2 linked regions of the Oryzias latipes genome follow. Each later gene encodes a partner of the first gene's protein in a complex. Links are inferred from orthologs where the notes say so. Each region holds a gene or a part of one and is shown on either strand. Other genes may lie near its edges.

Evidence for each region.
Region 2: dis3l (region 1) and exosc10 share a complex: the UniProt entries of both Homo sapiens proteins name them as parts of the RNA exosome complex. The link is inferred for Oryzias latipes from reciprocal best matches to the Homo sapiens genes DIS3L and EXOSC10.

What each region holds. Positions count from the first base shown.
Region 1 is NC_019861.2:597,814-600,947, forward strand, and holds the end of dis3l (DIS3-like exonuclease 1), read left to right. Parts: intron 1-845; coding exon 846-1,020; intron 1,021-2,100; coding exon 2,101-2,430; 3' UTR 2,431-2,520; downstream 2,521-3,134. UniProt on the Homo sapiens protein: Catalytic component of the RNA exosome complex which has 3'->5' exoribonuclease activity and participates in a multitude of cellular RNA processing and degradation events.
Region 2 is NC_019865.2:9,473,380-9,477,204, reverse strand, and holds part of exosc10 (exosome component 10), read right to left. Parts: coding exon 3,748-3,825; intron 3,667-3,747; coding exon 3,598-3,666; intron 3,519-3,597; coding exon 3,413-3,518; intron 3,337-3,412; coding exon 3,263-3,336; intron 1-3,262. UniProt on the Homo sapiens protein: Catalytic component of the RNA exosome complex which has 3'->5' exoribonuclease activity and participates in a multitude of cellular RNA processing and degradation events.

The sequences.
Region 1 (3,134 bases):
TATGTGGAAATGAAAGAAAATTTACAGTCAGGTGCAGTAAAACATGCTTCAAGCTTTAGTCCCAGCTGTCCAGAGGAGGGCACACCTGTAGGGGGCGCACAGGTGACCCAAACGAAACAGGAAACGCCTGACTGTCAATTCCCTTCCATTTTATGGGGGTCAGAGGCAGGATCCACCGGCAGGTGTAGGAGACAGCAGAGAGGAGGCCTACAGTCAGGAACAGGAAGAAATGTTAGAAATGAGGAAATTAGACAATCAGAGTTTAGTTTCTGTGTGGACGTCCTACAGCAGGGGTGTCCAAATCCAGGCCTGGGGGGCCGTTGTCCTGCTGGTTTTCCAGAATCCCTGCCTGATCTGCTGCTGATTACCTGGATCAGGTGTGTTTAGCCAATAAGGAGCTACAGTGGCAGGTTGGCTGGAAAACAAGTAGGACACCGGCCCCCCAGGCCTGGATTTGGGGACCTTTGTCCTACAAGCACTTGCACATCACGAGCATTTACATGTATAAATGCTGTGTACGGACCATTGATATGTCCTGTAATCGGACTTAAGGTTACCACACGGGTCAACCCCCCCATGCAGGAGCATGTGACCGAAGGCTCAGTGATGATGTCATGACAGCGTCACCCACACGGGTCAACCCCCCCATGCAGGAGCATGTGACCGAAGGCCCAGTGATGATGTCATGACAGCGTCATGACTCTGTGGCTGTTTAATTGTTTATTGGGTGAAGTTTGAAAACACTTTATTAAAGGTTGTAATCTAAAGCTGCTTTCATACTGGAGGCAGATTAAGTTACCTCTGAATACCACAGGCGGATAACCCCCCCCCCCGTCTGTCCTCAGGTACGGCATCAAGGGTCCCGTGTACCTGAGGAACAAAGAGGGCCAGGTGGTGTCGGCAGAAGCGGGCGGCAGCTGTAAGTGGCAGGGCGGCAAAGTGCGGCGGTACCCCAGCTACATCACCACCACCACGGCGGGCGGATGCAGCGCCACCTTCAGGCTAATGAGCCACATCACTGTGAGTGAGGGTCACCCACCGTGCCTGTGACGGCAGAGAAGAAACCGCACTCAGAACCTCCACCCAGTGTTTGGGTCTAAAAAGACCCAAACACTGGCTGCTGACCCGAAGCAGCAAGTCTGCTCCATGAAGAGGAGCCTGGGGGTCAAGCCCTAGTTTAACACCCCCCCCACACACACACACACACACAGTACTTTTGTCATTGCTAGGAACAGCCACAGACCGTATATGAGGACTGGACTGAGTGGCCTCTCCTCCAAACAGGAAGTGGTTCCAAGTTTCTACAGAGAAACAAGCAGCTGTTATTCTGTTGGTCAGCAGAACCGTTCTGGATCGGATCTTTTCTCACATCTGGATAATCCTCGTTTTTCATATTTTCATGTAGTCTAAATTATTGAAGTTATAAACTGACCAATCGGACGCCTCCATAAAAGTAGGTGGAGCTTGCCGGCCCCCACATCCAACAATCAAAGCATTGGACAGATTTCATGTAGCCCCCCTTTCGAGTGGTAGGGGCGTGGCCTTCCAACAAGCTCAGTCCTGACTGGTGAGAGTGGTTGCCATAGAAACAATGACTCAGACTGGCTCGGACCAATCACTGCTCACTGATGAAGTCTGGCTCCATCATGGTGGAAAACTGGCGACTGGATTGACGTCGTGTGTTTGGAGCCGGCAGTGAAACCAGCCGTCAGCCAATGGGAAGAGCCGCTGAGGGAAGCAGACGCTCCTTTGGAGACTTGGACCTGAGCTTGAAGGTCAACATGTCCTCCTACCGACCTGCAGTCATAGCTGCTCACGGACAAACACACCTGACCCAGGTCCCAGCAGCAGGTAGGGCTGAAGCGGGAGGCCGGGGGCCCTCAAGGGGCCCTCCAGGCTCCCGCTCCAGCTGGTGGAACATGGTTGTTCTGGGTCAGCTGGTGGCTCTCTACAACTTTTAGAAGAGCCCCATTTTTAGTCGACTAAAACAGAGGTAGACTCCAAAGGTCAAAAGGTCACTAGAGTTTTAAATGAGTTGACTGCTGCTCAGCAGCTGATGAAGCCCCTGTAACCATGGAAACGCATCTCCTTTCCCTGCAGGTCCGTATTTCGGTCCGGTCCTCCAGCTGCCACTCCGACACTCTGGTCCTGGAGGTCATCAGCAATCAGCCCCACCGCGGCTCCGGGCCCCCGGCCTCGCAGGGCCACCGGCAGCTGGTCCAGGAGGTGGTCCGGCTGGCTGAGAGCGCCCAGCAGACGGCGGCGCCCACGCACAAACTGTCCCGGCAGGAGCGGGACTTCCTGCAGAGCAGAACTCCAAACCTGTACTCCATCCTGGAGGAGATTCGTGAGCTGGCCCTGATGGACCTGGACGCTCTGTCCCAAGCCTCTGAGCAGACGGTTCTGACGGTCCCTGACCCGTTACCATGACGTCACAGACAACCGGTTTTTAACGGATTTTTATGATGAGACATGTAAAAGCATTAAAACTGGATTTAGAATAAACGTGTTTTTATCTGACGTCAGACTTTTTCAGAACCTCTTTTGGGACCGACAGAAGTTCTCCCCGCCGGCCTGGATCCATGTCATCCTCACACATAAGAGCCTGGAGAAGCTTTTACTGGTTGACGTGTGCTGATGGTTTCTGCAGCAGCAACCAGACACAACCACGTTGGGGGGGGCTCCGGGTCCTTCCATCTTCTAGCAGCCTTGGTCTTGGAACCAGCTACAGGAGGAGAATGGGCTTCAGCCAGAACGGGCCCATCACAGAACCCACCCGGGATTCAAACTAGGACCTTCTGTCAATTCAGTTTGATTTCTATGGCCCAATATTAACATTAGTCGCCTCCAAGGGCTTCGTACCGGTAACTTTTTAACCCTTGTGCTATCCCATGGGGTCCAGATGACCCCCCCCTCCCTTCCATTGAGGTGTTCTCCCTACTATGACAAAGGTGGATAAAGGTGGAAAGATTTTATGTAATCCATGGACACCAGTGAAGATCACAAATCATTGAAGAAAAAAGGTTCAGAGCACTGTCTAGTGGGTCTAGATGACCCAACTGTCTAGTGGGTCTAGATGACCCAACTGTCTAGTGGGTCTAGATGACCCAACTCCCAACGTTAACGTGCCTAGG
Region 2 (3,825 bases), on another chromosome or scaffold:
CCAGAGTCCATAAAAGCCAATTTACGGTTCTGTAAATAACCTACAAATGTGTCTTGTGCTCCTGCATTACCGTAATCAAAGCCTGATAAACACAAGCTCAAGGGTGATGCAATAAAATGTATACATTTTGTAGATCTTTTATCTGCTTCATGGAGAAAACACACACATCAGTGTAGTGGTTTTTCATGCTTTAATACTTTGTAGGTTTGGGATTTCTGGTTGAAATCAAGAAACAATCTAAAAATGAAAACACAAGTGGACCATAGAGAAACATTTAAAATGTTAGAAAACTCTTCCAGACCACAAATTTCAGGTGGGAATTCGGGTTTTCTGATTTTTTTTGTTTTTTTTATTTGTTAAATGCTGCTTAGCCAAGTTTGTTTCATCGTAATGGGTTAATTTTTTAAAAAATATTTTCGTTTGTGCATCTGTAAAACACTCAGAACAGTCACTGTGAATAAAACGTTTTGGAAAAAAAAAATCAGGCTGTTATTCTCTTCCTAATCTAATTCGGAAGCTTTGTGAGCTACATCTCACCTTTGAGGTTTGCCTTCATGTAACAGGTGGCAAAACCAACAACAAGGACAACAAAACAAGTGCTGCCTGTGAACAGATTTCTGAGCTATTAGTGAATCTGTGTTTTTGAAAAACCAGCCATGAGAGCCGAACGGCAAAGAGGTGCTAGCTGAAAGTACTAGTGTGCTAACAGCCAATATTTGCAAGTGGCTGACAGGTGGCACACTGTATGTACCCTGGTTGTTATAATTTACAAGCTTTATTGGTTCTTTTGGGTAGTTTTAATTAGGTAGCCTTGACAAGGGAGCCGGTGATTCAGACAATCTGTACAGCCGAGTCGGCTGCATCCATGTTTTTTCATAATGTTGGTCAACCTTCCATTCTGTTCTTATTTTGGCTTGTTTTTTTAACTAAATCATCTACACTTCTTTCTCTTTTAGGACACAGGTATTCTTGAAAGCACTAAATAAAATTGGTCCCGTCTTCTGCTGGCGTCCATCACATACGTCATCGGCTATGGCCCTTCTTTGGTTTCCTAGATGAGTGTTTTTCAGCCAGTGTGCCGCGGTACACATGTATGCCATGAAAGATCATCATGTATGCAATGGGAAGTTATCTAATTTCACCTAAATCAGTGTAAAAAGCATTCACTATTGCAATGACATCAGCTCTGTGTTCATCAAACTTTCAGGCTTCAACAGAGTTTTAGTGTCACAAAAACAAAAAAAATAACATTACGAGATTTGAAGTAAAATATTTAAATATTTTGTGGGAACAAATTCCTACTGTGTGGGAACAAATTATTATTTTGTGGGAAAAAAAATATTTTTTTTTACCCATGTCAGGTGACTTATTAGCAAATCAAACGAAGGTTTTTTCTGAGTTTTAGTTTATATCACACCGAAAAAAAACTGCAATTTAAAAATCGAGGTTTGAACCTTTGGGAAAGTGAATCGATGCATCCTTACTGAACGCTGCCGCAGACGGAAGTGAGTGTGTGTCTGGACCAGTATTTTTCAACTTTTTCGAGCAAAGGCACACTTTATCCTTGACAAAAAATCCCGCGGCACACCAGCATCCAAAATTGAAAAATGGAGAAACTCTATAGTCTGTTTGATGTACAGTTTCTCTGCAATCTCATATGCACTGTTGTGATAATTGTGGCAGAAAAAGCTGGAAGTTGCAGCTGTTTCTTCTAAAAGATGTAATAAAAGTTAAGTTAGTTTTCAGTAATTATTTTGAACTAAATTATTTGAAAATTTACCCTGGTAGTTGTTTTTCCCTTCAGTTTACTGACATGCAATTTTAATTAACCCCACAAAAAACGAAATATATTCTTTCTAAATAGTGATTTAGAAAGAATGACATATAAAATAATCCAGACCTCATTAGAAAAGTGTTTCAGTTAGAAAGATGACTTGGACCAAACTCTGGGATGTTTGGATGTTAATAAACACAAACCTTGAAGGAGAACTAAACTGTTGACCTCTGATTTCATCAAGAAGATTTAAAAACGGTTTGATGTGGGTTCGTTGTGGTTTCAAGACGTTTAACAGGGAGGACTCACTGAGACGCTGTCACTTTAACCCAATGCATCATGGGAGGTGTAGTGTGAAACAGACGCCGATCGCAGACACTCTCTGAGCTTCATTGTTTTGTTCACTTGCTCCACGGTCTGACAGCAGATCGTGCAGAAAGCTACACCGCTTAAGATGAGCTTTAGCTGGTATTTTTGTTGGAACTGAGAGACTTTATGAGCTAAATCGGGACAAGGAAGTCTGGACTTTAACCACTTCTGATTGGTCAGACTGATGACGTATGATTAAGCCTCCAAGAATGATTGGTGGAGACAGTTAAAGGGGTGGGACTTTTCCGAAAACAGAGCTGAAGCTACGGCTAAATCACGGTACCGTCATTCTTAGCAAAATGTCTTTAAAAGAATCAAATAAACACAAAGTAAAAGTCTTTTACGATCTTTCACATTCCTAACTACTCAGTTTTATCAGGGCCTGTTTGGATGAACACAGAGCTGATATCCTGGAGATGGGAAATGTTTTTAGATCAGTTAATGGGTAGTTTCCCACGGCACACCTGACCATCTCCCACGGCACACTGGTTGAAAAACACTGGTCTGGACAGTAACACCTGTGACATTCAAGTGCAGCTGCCAAATTTTCTGATTTATGACCACCAGGATTATCTGTAGCAGTTGGACAAAAAGCTTTGCTCTGTGGTAAAAGGCTTAACTGAAGTGTTAAACTGGAAAGAAAAGAAATCAGAAAAGTTTAATATGACAGCGGGGGTGCGAGTAACTAACTAAAAGGAAGCCAAGTAATACCCCCTGAGGAATGGAACTAGCAGCAGGAGGCTGCTAGTTCCTAGAAAAGAGGCTTTGTTACTCAAGAGGAACAAAAATGTGTCCAATGAATCTGAGACACTTTTATAACACCCAGCCCACATGCTGTACATTTTTCCTCCTCTATAGGATAGAATATTTAACATGGCCCCCATTCTGTGTTTCTGCAGACCCGTTCATCTGATGGGGACTCACTGTCTTGGGAAAATATAAAGTATCACACAGAGTTAAAGTAGTCATAAACCTACTGTCCTTTCAACGCTGTTGCGGGCCCTTGAGTGAATCCAGCTAAAAGAATATGCCATGCCTTCCAACACAGACCTGAGGTGCTTGTCTGAAGTTCAAAAGAACAAAATGAACGGAGAAACGAGGAAATGTAAAAAGACTTACTGCTGCCTGCTGACGCACAGTGGCAACATTCTGAAGAGACTCCTGGTAGCTTTGTTTAGTCTTCGTTCTTTTCTCTGAGAGAATTCAACAGATAAAAAGTGAGGAAACAATGCTTGAAAAGGTAATGTGTAGAAAAGAAAAGCCAATTACCTGAGGCTTTCTTTGCCTGTTGCTTTGCTTCCTCTTTGGCTTTTTGCTTAGCCTCTAACTCTTTTTGCTGCTGTTCAATGCTCTGCAGTTTCCACCTTTTGCTGATCTGTCAGGGTGCCAAAGTAAGCAAAGCACATTAAAAACAACAGCGGTCAATATATTTCACAAAAAAGCTCTTCAGGTACCTCAAATATTTTGGAGGATGGGTCAAACTTGGCATTCTTGTTGACATGCACATCGGTGGAAGGTAAATACTGGAATAAGAAGCAATAAATTATTATTCTGCCAAAGCACAAATAAAGAATTGTGAAGGTTAAGCTCTTGACATTTCCTACCATTCTAAAAGGATTTTCAAAAGACTCAATGATTCGTCTGGCCTTCATCTGAGCTACAGAGAGGGAGTTTTGCTCAGT